4 linked regions of the Drosophila melanogaster genome follow. The protein of the gene in region 3 interacts with the protein of the main gene of each other region in a pairwise test. Each region holds a gene or a part of one and is shown on either strand. Other genes may lie near its edges.

The links.
Region 1: the proteins of Cluap1 (region 3) and CG17778 interact in a two-hybrid assay, tested with the Drosophila melanogaster proteins (one large-scale study listed by BioGRID).
Region 2: the proteins of Cluap1 (region 3) and Cht2 interact in a two-hybrid assay, tested with the Drosophila melanogaster proteins (one large-scale study listed by BioGRID).
Region 4: the proteins of Cluap1 (region 3) and Bug22 interact in a two-hybrid assay, tested with the Drosophila melanogaster proteins (one large-scale study listed by BioGRID).

Annotation. Positions count from the first base shown.
Region 1 is NC_004354.4:492,872-496,888, forward strand, and holds CG17778 (uncharacterized protein), read left to right. Parts: upstream 1-1,742; 5' UTR 1,743-1,845; intron 1,846-1,906; 5' UTR 1,907-2,198; coding exon 2,199-2,246; intron 2,247-2,597; coding exon 2,598-2,933; 3' UTR 2,934-3,498; downstream 3,499-4,017. Other genes in the region: CG17896 (uncharacterized protein), read right to left, coding at 517-546.
Region 2 is NT_037436.4:1,752,013-1,757,536, forward strand, and holds Cht2 (chitinase 2), read right to left. Parts: upstream 3,923-5,524; 5' UTR 3,575-3,922; intron 3,261-3,574; exon of another isoform or gene 2,349-3,260; 5' UTR 2,331-2,348; coding exon 2,225-2,330; intron 2,154-2,224; coding exon 1,989-2,153; intron 1,932-1,988; coding exon 1,426-1,931; intron 1,299-1,425; coding exon 621-1,298; 3' UTR 531-620; downstream 1-530. Other genes in the region: CG8001 (uncharacterized protein), read left to right, coding at 4,415-4,524, 4,600-5,191, 5,295-5,524.
Region 3 is NC_004354.4:22,541,835-22,546,122, reverse strand, and holds Cluap1 (clusterin associated protein 1), read left to right. Parts: upstream 1-1,800; 5' UTR 1,801-1,899; coding exon 1,900-1,921; intron 1,922-1,987; coding exon 1,988-3,154; intron 3,155-3,211; coding exon 3,212-3,505; intron 3,506-3,563; coding exon 3,564-3,673; 3' UTR 3,674-3,737; downstream 3,738-4,288.
Region 4 is NT_033779.5:10,429,385-10,432,566, forward strand, and holds Bug22 (basal body up regulated gene 22), read right to left. Parts: upstream 1,535-3,182; 5' UTR 1,331-1,534; coding exon 1,055-1,330; intron 999-1,054; coding exon 675-998; 3' UTR 536-674; downstream 1-535. Other genes in the region: CG5188 (uncharacterized protein), read left to right, coding at 1-275, 331-527; TfIIB (transcription factor IIB), read left to right, coding at 2,019-2,035, 2,093-2,504, 2,560-2,794, 2,858-3,141. UniProt on the Drosophila melanogaster protein: Cilium- and flagellum-specific protein that plays a role in axonemal structure organization and motility. Microtubule inner protein (MIP) part of the dynein-decorated doublet microtubules (DMTs) in cilia axoneme, which is required for motile cilia beating.

The sequences.
Region 1 (4,017 bases), about 22 Mb from region 3:
CGCGCGGGGGGCAGCCGCCCACGCTTATCAGTGTCCATCTGGCAAATTCGAGATTTTCATGGCGCGCCTGTCGTGGAAAGGTACCGCTTATCGCGTTTTATTGGATTTAACGTCAACTCAAACATTGTACCGCTAAATTCCCCGCGAATTCGCCTTGTGCGCTTTATCTGCTTAATATTCTGGTTCTAGTTCTACTTCTTCCGCTTCGCAGCGACGTATTGCGTAACATGTGTTGTTTTCAACTGCCCGTTCGCCGCTCACACCCGTGGGCCATTCCAATCACTAGAGTGGGTGGAGTGTGAGATGGGCGCCGAAAGTGCATACATTACATGCCCAAGGCCAATCGCATCGCCAATTACCGAATTCACGGCCACACCAGTGTCAGAGAGAACGAGAGAGAGCGCCAAAACGATCCAAATGCTGATGGATGGATGCACGTATGTATGTATGTCAGGGTGAGGATGGCAGCCTAGCATGCCTATAGGACATACACCCACCCACCAATTGGAAACTCACCTCTGCTCCGATCAATCGCACTAGGGACATCTTGGGGATACGGAGATGAGAATTTGGTGCGGGGATCGGATCGCGTGCTCTCCGAACGGTGGCTACACTGAAACTGAACGCAGCGCAGCCGCCCATTTCTGATGCCAGTTATTCTCCACTGTTCTCTACACATATACATGAATGGAAATATATATGTACATATATCTGTATAGGTTTGAGGTAATGTATGGTGGTGTGGTGTGGTATTGGCATGGTGTGGCGATTGTTGATATACGAAGGCGAAGGCGAAGACCACGTCAAAAAGTGCTTTACATTAGCAAGTGGTTATAGTTTGATGCTCACACACACGTGTACACGCACATATGTATGTAACTTGCTACCGCACACACCGTTAGGAACCGGGGGCACAGCTGTTGTTTTTGTGTTGCTCTGTTTTCGCAATTGTTGCTGTTGCTGTTTTTTGGGGGCTCGTTGTGAGTATGTGTGTGTGAGTGTAGTGCTTGCTTTGCGGTGTTTGCGTTCTTGTCAATTCCCTGCTGGAAGGGAATGTTAGCTATGGTGACGGCAGTGTAGTATTGTAGTACCCAAATGCATACTCTATGGTTAATCAATTTTATGGTAATCAAGCCAGTTTATGTGTTCCAGTTAGATTGTAACAACTTTTTAAGTGTACAACAGTGGAAGTGTATTGGATCTTCGATGCTAGACATGCTGAACTGGCTTAGGGTATTTATAAACACCGGCGGATCCAATGTAGTATATTTGTGTTTTTCCATCAACGTATGTACATATGTACATATGTACGTATGGACACATGTACATATGAACTTAAACGAAATGTAATCAAATATTAATACTAGTGCTTAACCGAGGATGGAAAAAATAATCAATTAGGTGATAAGTGCTTCCTAGCTGAACAGATAAATCCTAAAAATGTTTCCTGGAACGCAGTGTGGACAGAAGCAGGCTGGCGCATTTTTCACTTTCTGAATGAAAATTTGTCTGCCTGCTTTTAGGCTTTTGGTCTATTAAAATAGCAAGTTCGCTTTCATCATCGGGCAGGGTAAGCTTTTGCTAGCAGCCCCGCTTCCTGGTCAACATAATCAAAAGGACTAGCCTGCACCGGGAAAACAAAATCCATGGAAATAGATGCAACACAAATGAAAGGCTTTCTCTTTTTTAAAGAAAGTGGTTTGCTTTGTCTCTCAATGGGACAATAGTAGCTCCTTTCTGCTCTTCAGTGATGCCCACCGGTAGTTGAATCAAGGAATTACAAAAAAAAAGTTCTGTCATTTGAAATCCATAACGTTTACAAAAAATCCATTGGCTTCGAAAAGTGTAAGCATATACTAAAAAGAATTCGATTAAATATAGCATATTTTTATACGTTGTTTTTAAGCAAGCTAAAGAAGTACCAGCACTGCCACTCGCTCTTTCTCTCGCTCCCTCTCTTGCTGCGGAATGCGGAAGTCAACTTGTGTGCAGGAGCATATAAATAGTGGGACCAATCGCAGGACTCGCTCACTCTGCTCGGAGAGCTTGGACTGGACTGTCAGCGCTCCGGACGACGCGCCTTAAGTTAGGCAAAAACAATTTTGTTATTTGCCGCAGTATGGACTTGCTGCGCTGACTTACTACTTACTGTCATGCCAAGAGGCTGAGGTCGAGAGGCAGCTTGGGATCTGGAAAAGATGGAGGCCACGCCGGGCTACCAGGACATCAGCGCTCTGGAAAAATCGGTGAGCTTATCGACCAGGCAAACAGAAATAGCCACTTATTCATTCAGAAGTATAGGCACTCAGAGTGTAGTGAGAGAAATTAGGGACACTCCATGGCGGTCTATTACAATCATAAGCCACATTGTCAGTTGGTGCCGAAATATGAGTATTTAAGATCTTTGTCCAAAGTACCTAAATGTAGACTGTTAATCCAAGTTTATCGAACTTAATTTAAGATGTTGTTATCAGGATTTGATCATAAGTTCTCCTGGGAATATCTTTTCAATGCTTCCCTAAGCTGAAGAGAGAACGGAAGCGGCCAAAATTCAATTACTTAATCCATAGGTAACCTACATTTCCCTCTGCTTCAAGGTGGCCAATGCAGGATCGCAGCTGTACACGATGGCCCACAAACTGCACGCGGTGGAGCGCAGCCTCGAACAGACGACGATGGAGCAGATGGACGAGATGGAGGTCCTCGAGTTGCTCGAGTCGATGAGCGAGGTGACCAACGAGTACCAGAATCTGCGCAAGGACATTCGCGAGGTGCAGCAGTTGCAGCGTGACGTCAGCAGCTCCATACGGTACCAAATGCGCAGCATGCAGCAGACTTTTCACACTCTAAAACAGCGGATAGCTAGCTCCCAGAAGGGTCGCAAAAAGCCCGAGAAAGGGCTCGATGGAGCAGGGGTTGGTATTCATGAATAATCAATGACCCTATTGATTGGCCTCCCTGGCGAATAGGTGCGGTAAATGTGTCAATGGGGACGCAAATGTAGGGACTAAATTGGCACCAATCTGAAGCAATCAACTGTGTAACTATATATCGCAAGCCCACTCCAAGCATTTAGACTCGGAAAAAAATCCTATACTTTATATACATGTATACACATTAAGAAAACCACACCCATTGTATGCGAATTAAGGTTTTTTTTTGGTGTTTTATTCCAGTGATAGGCAGGAATAACGAAAACTCACTGCTCTAAGAACACAAAAACACAATGCTTAACACAGAGTAAACAACATTTACGATGATATGCGTTCTTTAGGACGAACCGGAATGTCTGAATGCACTTTTCCAAATTTTGCCTTAACATAATAGTATTTTGAGGTAGTTTTTGATACGACACGTTTTAAAAGATAATATATAACAGACCGTACATATTTAGGCCACACACAATGGTTATTCTTGTGTTAGTTTCATTTTTGGAGATTTATTTGTTGAGCTCTAGAGAAAATAAAAGTTAGTTAAACCTCGGGAGACGAGGAACGCATATATTTAAATCTGGCGCCATCCGGTTGTCAACAACAACCTTCTGGCAACTCCTCTAAGTCGCATCTGGCAATGTCATCTGATCGCAGCCGAGTGGCAACAGTGGTCGCTGCTGCGTTCGCGTACTTTCGTGACTTCATTTGCGATTTTATTTATATTCTCCGTGTTGCGAATAAAATGTATGTATCATGGCAGTTGTTTAAGAAGCGAATATACGCTGATTCATCCTAGGCTGGCGAGAAGATCATTGCGAAAAAAGTGTACGAAAAGAAAGTGCAATAACTGCAGCTCTATTGTGCGCGCATCTGGGTGTGCGTAGATCTTTGCATCGGTGTGTCGGTGTTTTTTTACGTTTGTGTGCGTGGCGTGCCCACATTTGTGGCACAAGTTTAAAAATTGGCACTAAGAAAGTTCAAGAAAGTGGTTCTGGGGAAAATAGTTCATTCATTCAGCATCCACTTTCTGTTGAAAGTGGCGCGCCTGCGTTTTGTGTCTTAATCATCGCATTGCTGCCTGCCT
Region 2 (5,524 bases), on a different chromosome or scaffold from region 3:
AGAATCGTCGCACTTGTAATGTTTGCCATCCAAGAACGGAACTCTATTCTATTATATGTATGTCCTATCTCCCCAACTATCGAAAGTCCTCGGGGCTGCAAACCTTGCTTTAACTACTTTACGCGTATCCTTTGCATAGTTTACCTAGTACATATATTACTTATCACATATGGTAGCATTGAATTGAATGTTGACAACTTGTAGCAATGATAATCTATGGATATTATATACAAATTATGTTATATTTACCTGCGTATTTACATAGTTGCGTATACACACACCCATATACACATACAAATATATGACTAGTTAGTTAAATGTTAGAGCGCCAGTTAAATTTATTAAAGAGTACACCAAGTATAACCAAAATATTTTAACAAAAACTTCGGGTTCCTTTCTTTTTGGCTAAACCAAAGGGTAACTAAAAATTAGGATGGAAGCTACACATACATATGTATATATGTACCTTTAATGATATATTCTTACTCAAAGCGTTATGATCCCCAAGAATCGAAGGAAAACCAGGTTTTATCTTAAAAATACAATTTGGATTTTAATGACTACGTGAACAAGGTGATGTGTTTCTAAGACTATGGCTACCGGAGCACTCCCTCAATTTCTCACTGGGCCAACCGGTGCAGGAGCATGAAGACAGCGGTGACTCCGAGGCCCAGACTGACCATAGAAGCGCCGGCATTCTTGCGATCCGCTATGCTGCCGTGCGGAATCTCGTTCTCGGAGTCATCCGGCTGCGGCTCCGGCACAGCCAGCTCGTCCACGGCCAGCATGGTGGCCTCGTTGATGGTCCGCAGAAGGGGATAGTTCTGGCTCGATCTCTTGGGCGCGGCAGTCACCTTCTGGAAGTCCTCGTACGTGTCCTCGTCCAGCTTGCAGTTACCCAGGAAGTCGTCCGTGTCCACGGACCACACCATCACACCCGCAAGCCGCTTGGACATGGCGAACAACACCTTGTTGGCGATGGAGCGGGAGCTGTCGTAGGTCACCACGTTGATCTCCTGGGTGAAGACGTTTCGCTCGGACTTGGCCAGCACCTGGCTGGTTTGCGGATCCCACTCCCTTGTCCATCCGGAGGTCTGGTTGCTCAGTGTCTGGCAGATCTCGTTGTAGCCCAGGAAGCCGTCCTCCCGCGTGTAGGGTCCCTTGAAGCCTACGCCTTCGCTGACGTCGTTCAGGAATCCACTGGCCAACGTCTTGAAGGTGCGTCCGTAGAAGGGCAGGCCCATCACCAGCTTCTCCGGCGGGGCGCCCAGTTTCAGCAGGTAGTCAATGGAGAATTTCTGTAAAAGTAAAGGAAAAGAGTTAATGATATTCCTCTCTCTCTGCTTCCTGATTATCAATTTTACGTAATCTAGGGTATAGGGTATCGGGCATTTATTCCAGGAATTGGTACCCAGGTGCACTTACCACACTCAGCGGATCATCCGCGGGCGCCGTGAGCGGAGCATTGTAACCAACTCGGCGGTCCCAGCTGCCGTGGTAGTCGTAGCACATGATGTGCAGGTAGTCCAAGTAACGCGAGATCTGCCGCACGTCATAGGCCTCGTCGATCACCTTCTTGGAGGCTCCGATGGCGGAGGTCAGCAGCAGGCCGTGCTCGTCGAACTCCTCGCGCAGCTCCTTGGTCAGCAGAACGAAGTTCTCGCGATCCGCGGGCTTGCCCTTCCGCTGCGTGGGATACTCCCAGTCGAGATCCAGCCCGTCGAAGTTGTACTTGCGTATGAAACTGGACACCTGCTTGACGAACCTGCCGCGCAGCAGATTGTTGGCCACCAGGGTGGAGTAGTTGGCCGATCCCTCGTTCCAGCCGCCGATGGCCAGGCTGACCTTCAGATGCGGATGGCTGCGCTTCAGACCCGTCATTTTCTCGTAGCCACCCTTGCCGTACTCCTCCTTTAGGTCCTGCCAGGGATCTGCAATCAGCAATGTTTTAAATTTGCATATGGCCATAAATCGAACCGGAAACTCACCCAACGACTTGATGGCTGCCTGGGTGATGTCCAGGCCGGCAAAGGCGTACACCACATGGGTGCACAAATTGGGGTCGAAGTTCTCGATGGCATAGGCACCCTGCTCCGGCCGGTAAACAGCCCATGTGGAAACGTAGCAAACCACCACCTTGTCGTGCAGGGGTCCTGCGAATAGAAAACGTAGGACAATCAGCGGTGAGCCACCCCTTTGTGGTTAAGCCGAGCGTAAGACTCACCTGTCCTGGCGGCCACCGAAGCCCACAAGCTGCTCGCAGTGGAGGCCAGGAGGAGGAGCAGCCACAGCTGCGGTGCTTCCCCACTAAGTCTGCTCCTCAGCGTCATCTGTTGCGGATTGGTTTTCTGGTGAAGACGAACCGGAATCGAGAATGGAGAATGGAGAATGAAGAATCGAGTTAAGTGCTTTGCGTGCAACTTTGTTGTGACAATTTATAATTTCAATTCAGCTCAATTGGCGTCTTAATTGAACGGGAAAAGTGAAAGGCACAAGAAGCGACCCATGTAGTCAGAAAAGTGCCAGGCATTCCAAAGTCAATGTCTGGGTCTAAAAGGTAGCTGCAGTTTATTATTTATAGGTATTTGTTCACCTTTTGTGCATCAAACTAATCGTTAGTTGTTTGGGTTTATAATAATAATCGATTTGTATTCTAGAGGCTAAACAAACTACACTGCACCATTTGTTTTGCTAAACGAAACGTTAAAGTTTTTCAACATTTGTGGAAGAACTATGCATAGTGAGTCACACAGATCGTTTACTTCAGAAATCGAAATCAAGACGAATGTAATCAAAGAATCTGCTTTGTTCCCTCCAGTTCAAGTCATATTCGAGTGGGTAGTCCAACCTGATTCTCAACTTTCGCCAGTGCGACCTTAAGAAGCTGACCAGCGAATCTTGTTGCATCGTCCAGAACCGTGAATCATGCTGCCCGCAGCTCCAGAGCGTAACTTATTATCTTTTCGGAGGCGAAACAAGTTAGCCTTGATATCTCGGGTCTGATAACAATCGGCATGAATAGGCACTTAAGATTTGGTAATGTGGCGAGACCTGGAAAATAGGAAGTGCGCACCGAGGAATGGGCGGAAAACCAAGCTCAGAGCGGTTTCACTTTCCGCCTTTTTCCCCCAAACTTATGCATATTTATTTTTTTTATTGGATTTTGCTGCTCAGCTTGCCCCTGGCAAACCGGAATTCGCCGTTCATCACGAGATTAGAGGCGAGTCGAAAAAACGCGGGTACGAAATCGAAATCGAAAAGTAGAGGAAAAAATCCAGGCCGCGAACCCGAGAACAAACATCACTTGGGGCGGAGATGGGCTCTCAGATGGATTGCTGGCCATTTTCGCACTTGGCGGCTGCGCATGCGCAGCAGAGGAAGTGGGAAGCCACTTAACCAGCACACAGGCACACTCACAGACGAGCTAAGAAACCATCGGGTGACATAAAAACAAGTACATTCACTGTGCTCCCTGGTAAGTAGCTGCACATAGGGCACATATGTGGAACCGTCAACGTGCCCAGCGTATCGAGTTCATATCGCTGGCTCTCCGCACCATGTTTCATTTCATTACCCGATCTGGAGTTGTTTTTCCGCTTTAGCGACCACGAAACTCTTAGCACCGCCCTCGAAGCCAGCTCGCTTATAACTGAACTCGTCTCTCCGTCTTCGGTCTCATGCGTATATAATCGGCTCCGTCGCAGCTCTGTGGAGCCACTCAAGCCGAACCCGATCCACCGGCCCAACCACATGCCACTCTCAGCGAAGTCATCCAAGAGGCGAAATGCCAAGGTGTTGGAGCGGGGAAGTAGTCGTGCTCAGCATAAAGCCAACAGAGAAGAACAACGAACTAAAAAGGTTCGAAGAGATGGCTTGCTAAGTGTGAATACCATTGAAGAGACCTGCCATGCTTGTTGAAAATAAATATATTTATAACTATAATTTAAGAGTATACATTAAATATAGTATAATCAAATATGGGGGTGCAATTTCTTGCTTATTTGGATACTCTATATACGAGTTTCTCTAAGAAAAAGAGTTTCCAACTTCCCTACTAGAATCTAGAAAATGCACATCTACTATGCCTTGAGTTTGTTTTCTTCTTTCGTTTATATTGAAAGCAAGGCATTTCTACAGTTCACCAAGCCTCGTGTGGGAGGGAAGTCACTGATCGTATTTAAAGGCTGAAGCCACACATCTTAGGCGTAAGCAGGATTATACTCCATCCACAGACTTTCAAACTGGCCGATAAGTCGCGCCAAAGCTATCGGTCAATCGGGCTTTTGCGCGTGAGGCAAGTGCCATCTCTGCTAGTTGGACGTAAACAACGTAAAATCGGGAAATTAGGGAAAGTCCAGCGGGGCGGGAAAGAAGGCAGATTCTGATCTGAGATTGTAGACGTGCTCCACCGGCGATGGACGTGGAGGATTCCGTGGCGAGCGGAGCGGCATCCGCCTGCAAGCGCCAAAAGCGAAACACAGATTCCCAGAACGATGGCGAGCCTGAAGACGCGGCGCAGATTGGGTAAGTGTTGTGTCTTGGGTTGAGCATGCTCTGCGGCTTGGATAATCCATTGATTTTTCGCCCGTGGGGAACCAGTGAGGAGAACACTGTCGCCGAAAGCCAGCCTTTAATTAACTTCGACACAATTGTCACTCACAACAATAACGGAGAGAGCGATATGGAGGGCAAGGAAAACCAGCTCCAGGATGAGAGCGAGCAGTCCGAGGAGCATCTTGCTAATAAAGTTGGACCTGAGGAGCTGCCGGAAATAGAACAGGCAGGCTCCTCCAATTTAGCGCATCAATTATCCCCGGAAGCAGCCTCCACCGTGCTGGCTTCTGATGAGCCAGATGCTTCCACCGGTGTCATCGAGCCTAGCGACAGCGAAGACTATCCACCTACTTCACCGACGCCAATTGAAGCTTCCGAAGCGGTCAGTTCACCCCGCTTCAATCCACGCAACATACCACCCACGCGCTCCTATCGCCGTATCAGCATAGAGCTAGTGGGCTCCTACTCGGACACAAGCGATTCAGAAGAACATGAGCTGGAGGAGGGGACCGAGCACGCAGAAGAGTACAGCGATGATGCGCCTGAACCGCATATAGCCGAGTCCGCTGACGACAGTTCCTCCAACGACGACATGGGACCCTATTCTCTTTCCAGTGAAGATGAAACAACCACAGAGGTAAGTTGTTAAGCCTTAAGTGATGGTAAGAAGGGTAGATCATGAGGTTACAAAATTAAGCTTTTAGGGATAAGTTGAGCTTCTTATAAATCCTTGCTAACAGGTTGAGAACTTGCAGGACGAGGTGGAGTTTAACGAGGACATCAACCCCGCTGACCGCGAGAAAGTAGACTACGCCGTTAATCAGGTGATGTGCAAGTGCAAGCCCAAATACACTTGGAACTACGATCAGGAGCTGTTGCAAAGGGAGCACAACATAATCAACCGGATTGACTGGCGTGGCGGCCACACTTCGGCCTCTAGCTTCGGCCAGGGCTACTACGGTTCCCGCCA
Region 3 (4,288 bases):
TGCACGCAATAAGCAAAGCACGCGAAGTTTGTGAAAGCAATTGTAATTTCATAATGTTACTCAATTTTTGAGTACAAGGCCTCCAGCTACTGATCGGGTTTAAAATACATTTGTGTGCGCTATAAAATACAAAAAACAAAAACAGTTTGAGCACAACCCCTCAATTATTTAACTATCTGATACCCTAGTATCAGAATATGCGTAGCAAGACAAGGGAGAACGCTATGAATGAGTTCTCCGACTATCAGAAGATACACGTTAGTGGTTGGTTGGTTTTGGTATGTATTTATTCCTTATGCACCAAGACTATTACTTAGTAAAATCCGTATTCCCCATATTAAGCAAAACAAGAGTGTATGATATAATCGAGTTCCCCGACTATTAGATACTCATCGTTACTCAGCTAGTGGAAATGCGAATGGGAAATTTCATAATTTTTCTCGGATATCGATAGATATTGGGAAATAATATAATATTGGCAATTTAAAAGACTAATAATAATATGAAAAAGTATTAAAACATTTAGCAAACGTGTGGGCGTGACAGTTCTAGGCAGTTTGTGGGCGTTAGACTGGGCTTGGGAACATGGGCAACTGCACTGCGTCTACGTCTTTAGAATCTGTATGCTTCTTAACTTTCTTTTACCTTCTAGCTTTTATTGAAAAATAGATAGATTTCTGAGATCTCGACGTTCATACGGATGTCCGGCCGAACATGGATATATTGTATATTAGGAATATATATACAATATATGGTCGGAAACGCTTCCTTCTACCTGTTTCATAAGAATATTACTAAAAGGATATAACAAATTTAGTGCCGCTTTTAGGCATTTTGAATGTGCGCTTGTATGATTGAAACAGGGTTCATTCGACTTTTTAAATAAATAGAGTTTTATTTGGTTTTCATATCCATTAATTGTATAAAAACTAAAAAATTAGAAAATATAAATTCTTGATGAGGATCACAAGCGGAATCTTCCATCTGTCGATCAATATTAACTATAAGCTATATATGTACATATGTATATATGTATATACACTGTAAAAGCTAATGTGACACACACACAGCTCTAGTGTGTTTCAGAACGTCGTCTTGCCCACTATAACGCCCGCAAACTTCCCAAAATATCACACCATCGATAACCCAACAGAGTGTTGAATCTGTGCAATGATAAGTAAATTACAAGAACAATAAAGGATATATAGAAAAACTGAAATTTATGTGCCCAACAGGTCAATTTCAGTTGAGATAGTGGCGCCCTCTGTCGGGTATGCTTAATTTGTAAAAATCCCAATTATCGTATTTCAATAATTCGTTCTTAGCAACTCCTACATTTTTAATGGAATGGAAACCGCGCAACCGTTTCCCAGGTGAACCCCGTGCGACCGTCCACAGCAATCGAATGAATATTAGCCAAGGATAGCAGGGGGACACTGCGAGAAATTTCATATGGCAAGTGATAGTAACCTGTATTTGTTTAAGTATTAAAATAAAAAAACTAAAACCTATTTAAGTTAAAATTAATTTTATTTCGCTTTTATTTTCAGTTTCATGTATTGCTGTTTTTGAGAAATTTAGTACATATATCTTAATTCCTATTTTATGTAATATTTTCTTATTAAAATTCCGTTTAAAATTACCAACATTGTTGTTGACAATAATCTTAGTTTAATATTAATAATATATTTTAGAAATGGATCAATGTTTAGAGTTCGTTATCATATTTTCTCGCTATGCATTTTCCGTTACCTAGCAACCATCAATTTGGGATTCGGTGGCCCAAACAAAAGCTCCAACGACCACAACAAATGACGGTGTTGAAAATGCAATTGCCAGCGCAGCCGCAGCGATTGCAAGCAGCCAAAGAAAAACAGGTGAACTCGTTGGAAGCCAGGAATGTCCTTCAAGGATGTGCGAGGTGCGTACTGACTTCCTCCTCTTACTTCCTCCACCTAACACGACCAGACTGATACTCCACTTCCAGATCTGGGGGAACATCTTAAGCTGTTGGGGTTCCCGCGCGTGTTTCCCCTCCAATCCCTGGCCAATCAGCATGGCAGCCTGGCCAGTTTCCACATTGTTGCCGAGCTCCTTCAATGGCTAGCAGGACTAATAGAGCCAGGAGCCACTTTGCCCGGCGGCGTTGAATCGGAGGAGCAGCGGGTTCTTCTCGTCCGTTCGGCGACCGAGTTTTTTGTGACCAAGGCAGCCATTCGTATTAATCCCCGAAAACTGTATGCAGCCGCTGCGGTTACGGCGGCAGAGCTACAGAAGGTTACCCGACTCTTGACATCCCCAGGACAAAACGAAGCGGACAACGACGAAGAGGACCAAAGGGACCAGTACCGGAGCCTAAATCCCGTGGATATTGGCGATAAAATAGAGGAGTTGCGTAAGGCTCGAGAACTGGCCACAGACCTAACCCAGCGTGGCACAACCATATGCGAGATGCTTTCGAAGGAACTGCTCCACAAGGAATCGCTAATGTCCCAGGCCCAACGACCCCTGGAGCTGCTCAGCGTGGAGCGGACCCTGAAGAGCGCCATCCAAGCTAACCAAGTTCGCCTCCAATCGAGTAGAGCCCAACTGGAAGCAGCCAAGGTGGAGCTCAATGCTCTGGGATCAAAGCTGCAGCGCCGTCGGGCGGAGCTCGAGCGAACCCGCCAAAGACTGGAGGCACTGCATCGCATTCGACCAGCGCACATGGCCGAATTCGAGGACTGTGAGAAGGAGTTGCAGGAGCTATTCCAGCGCTACTTTCTCAGGCTGCATGTGCGCGATGCTCTAAAGTCCCAGCTGGACCTGCGTACTAAACGTGCCACACCTATCTCCTCACCCATTCTGCAAAAGCCCGCCGAGAACTCAATGCCCTTCATCCCGGAGGGACTCATCGAGGACGACGATGACGACGACGACGAGGACGATCTGGATGACGAGGATGAGGGCGATGATGGCGGCAAAGCACTTTCCCGTCTCGAAATGGTGGTCAATGGCAGGAGTGTCTTCGGCCTGGACTCAGAGATACCCGACATACGGGACGAGGACAAACTAATGCAACAAAACAACATGGTTTCCGCCCAGGGAAAACGTCCTGGTACCGCCACCTCCAGGATTAGACCCACAACGGGTAGAAGCAGGAAGGCAGTAGGAGGTAAGGAAGTTCTAATTTCACAAACTTATTTCCCTGCTCAAATAACGAAAATCCCAGGAAGAGGCACAGCCGGCCCGGATGGTGGTAATGATGCCAGGGCAGCCCGCGGCACCAGGAGAGGTGTTGCGACTGGAGGAGACGCCGATGGCACCCAGCTAAACGGCCGCAACGGACCCGGCAGCAGTATGCTCAACTCCCGGGACGAAGACAGCAGCTTCGGGAGCTCCGAAAGCGAACTGGATGTGGGTAAAATCATGGGCATGAGCGGAATGAGCGGAATGAGTGGCATGAGCGCTATCAGCGGGATAAGTGGGATGAGCAATATTGCCTTGGGAGCCGGCGATGATGATTGTAAGTCGTGTAGTTACGCCTTGAACTTATAACAAAACTTTACCTCATTCACCCCTAGTTGATCTGAACTCGATCGATGACATAAGCATTTCAAAGTTAACTGGCGAACTGCCACTTAGACCGAAGACCGCCAATAAAGCGGAGCATCACAGCGATGAGGATTTCTAGGGATAACTACAATATTTATATTTATTTGCTAATTTTATAAACTCAGCCAGAGGGCAGACAGGTTGTAAAAAGTAAATAAAATATTCCCATCAAGCAATTAAAAGATTTCTTTCCACGTCACAATCAAATACGTCACCGTCTCGCAAATAGACGGCCTTAGGGTTCCGGTTCCTGCAGTAACACGAATTGTCTGGCGATATGGTGACTAGTATGATGAGCAATCAAAGTGTAGTCAAAGATGGATTTCTGCATGTACATAGGTAAGTGGGACTGTGCAAGTCAAAGCATAGCCAGGATCCCTAACTAAGTACATCGTTATCTGTATGACTTTAGCTAATCTATTCCTCCAAGAAGCGAGATATAAATTAAATTTGCTTTTGTAGATACGTTATAATCAGTTAATTCAATGCTCGAATAATTGAAATAGTTTGCTTAATATATCTTTATTCGATTAATTTTAATGTGTCTTAAGAGCTATACGCATATGTAAGTACATTGATAGAGTAATGGATATAAAAGGGGTAATTTATCAGACAAAGCCCCACATAGATGGGATTTCGTTGTGGCTCCGTAAAAAAAATATATACAAAAGTCTGGGAAACTGGGAACTAGAGA
Region 4 (3,182 bases), on a different chromosome or scaffold from region 3:
TATTGATGTCACAGTCTTTTTGAACGGCTACCATGGCGACTGTTCGGAAACATTTCGGGTGGGCAACGTGGACGAACGGGGTGGCTTTCTCGTGGAGGCCACTAAATCCTGTTTGGATCAGTGCATTTCGCTGTGCGGCCCCGGTGTGGAATTCAATGAGATTGGAAAGTTCATAGACAGATATTGCGACGAACATGATCTGGCATCGATAGCTGCTTTCATTGGACATGGAATCGGTAGCTATTTCCACGGCCCCCCGGAGATACTACACTATTGTAAGTAAGACTGTTTAAGAGACTCCTCCATTGCTAATCAAACTGCACATCGTAGATAATGAGATTCCTGGAAAGATGCAGCCCGGCATGACCTTCACCATTGAACCCATTCTGTCCCTGGGCGGAGCAGAAATAGCAGTGCTGCAAGATGGCTGGACGGCCATTAGTTTGGATGGCGCACGTAGCGCCCAGTTCGAGCACACCATTCTGATAACCGAGACGGGAACGGAGATACTTACAAGAGATCAATAGAATTTTATGTACATGATGCAATTTTTATTCGTGATTCCCATAAAGTGTTGAATGAGTGCTGGATGGCAGTCTTGTGCATTTTGTGCCGTTTTAATCGTCGACTCCGTCTGGTTAGGTGCTCTAATTGATTGATGATGCATACAGAATTTAGCTACAAATCGCATTGGACTTCTGCACCGGCTTCTGAATGGGAAGGAAGAGCTTAAACTCCGGCGGCAGCTCGTCCTCCGAGTAGAGACGATCGGAGAAGTAGACGCGTCTGATGCGGCAATTTGCATGAATCTGTACACGGAGTGTCTCCACATAATTGGTGCCGTATGCGCGACGCGTGAAGTCGGACAGGTTGAACTGGATCTGGTTCCATCCCTCGTCCAATCGCATGGGCATGGTGCAAATGAAAGGCTTGACACGAGTTGTCGACTGGTAGTTACTGGCCCTAAACCTTCGCCGCACGTTCTTGTCATCGAGAACCTGATTAGGGGCGGAAATCATGGAGTTACTGTCTTATGCAAGATGACGAAGCTTACCTGAACCTCGAAGGTGAAGTACTTCTTCATGTTCTTGATGATCATCACCAGGAAGGGCAGCTTGATGCCCAGCGTCTTCTTCGGATCTGCCGGACATGTTATGAACGTGGTGCTGACATTGGTGCCGACTATTTCCAACACGAGGCTTTGTATGTCGTTGTCGGTGATCCGCTTGATGTGTCCATTGCGCACCTTCTTATCCCACAGCTGCAGTGGCTTTGAGCCAATACTGTACAGAATTGATAGGAATCCCGATTGGAAAGTGTTTTTGAACATTTCGCGACTGCTGTGCAGTGACCGGTTCGCCCCACGGAGAGTATAGTCTCTTCGAAATTTATATAGGGCCAGTTAAGGTTGGCCGTAAATTTTTCGCACAGCCGAAACTCGTACAAACTACGAACATCAATGCGGAACTTGATTATTTTCTCATGTCAATGAGTTTGTTTAGCACGGCATCCTGTTGTTGCCATAACAATAAGCGAGCAGGGTTGCCACGTTTCCAAATGCTTGAACATGCTCGCATGTTTATGTGGGGTGCGAAATTGCGAAGTTGAAGGCCTGTCTCGCTTATGGAACGGTGAAAAAGAAACAGCTTAAAAAATAAATAATAACATGCGTTAATTTGGAATTGGCTAGACAAAAAACATCTATTATTGTTAAAAATTTTTATTTATGAATTAATAACTTTTAATCAAGTTAAAATGGTGCTTATTATTAACAGCATGGAAACTTAAAATATAGAACATTAATTGTGAAAGTAAAACAGATTGCTAAAATGCTAAAGGTGGTTAAGTTATTATTAACAGCAAGAAAACTTAAAATACAGAAAAATAATTATTAAAGTTGACTTTCCCATATTCCGATTTCTGTGAAGCAAAAACCTAAGCAGCTATCGAGTTATCGGGCAAAGTCACATCACCAGTTGATGTGAGTATTAAAAAAATATATAGCTTACAGAGTACAAATGGCATCGACATCGAGGTAAAAGTCGGGTTTCCTAACAATTTGTGAACACCAATAATGGCTTACTGCTTGCAGACTGGACAACAACAAGGTGTGCTGCTACGCACACCCCGAATCTCCGCTCATCGAGGACTACAGGGCTGGCGATATGATTTGCTCCGAGTGTGGTCTGGTGGTTGGGGACCGCGTAATTGATGTGGGCTCCGAGTGGCGTACCTTTAGCAACGAGAAGAGCGGCGTGGATCCCAGTCGTGTCGGTGGACCGGAGAATCCGCTGCTCAGTGGCGGCGACTTGTCCACCATAATTGGTCCGGGCACAGGATCCGCATCCTTTGACGCCTTTGGAGCACCCAAGTACCAAAACAGACGCACCATGAGCAGCTCGGATCGCTCCCTCATATCAGCCTTTAAGGAGATATCCTCGATGGCCGATCGCATTAACTTGCCCAAAACCATTGTCGATCGGGCCAACAACTTGTTCAAACAGGTGAAATTCGAGTTCGCGGTTGATTTGGTTGAGACCTCATGCCGTTTTCTTGTAGGTTCATGATGGAAAGAACCTCAAGGGTCGTTCCAACGATGCCAAGGCATCCGCTTGTCTGTATATAGCTTGTCGCCAAGAAGGAGTTCCTCGCACATTCAAGGAAATATGTGCTGTCAGCAAGATCAGCAAAAAAGAGATTGGCCGTTGCTTTAAGCTAACATTGAAGGCTCTCGAGACAAGTGTGGATCTCATAACCACTGCGGACTTCATGTGCCGCTTCTGCGCCAACTTGGGTAAGTGTTTTTACACTTTCTGTACTTGAAGGTAGCAGGATTAATACCTATAATTCTTATCAGACCTGCCGAACATGGTCCAACGCGCTGCCACGCACATTGCAAAGAAAGCCGTCGAGATGGATATTGTACCGGGACGTTCGCCAATTTCTGTGGCCGCAGCCGCAATCTATATGGCCTCACAAGCATCCGAGCATAAGAGAAGCCAGAAGGAAATCGGTGATATAGCCGGTGTGGCCGACGTCACCATCAGACAGTCCTACAAACTTATGTATCCGCACGCAGCTAAGCTTTTCCCCGAGGACTTTAAGTTTACCACTCCCATTGATCAGTTACCACAGATGTAATTCTTTTCGTAGATCCGATGCTCAATACTAACGCTAACGTT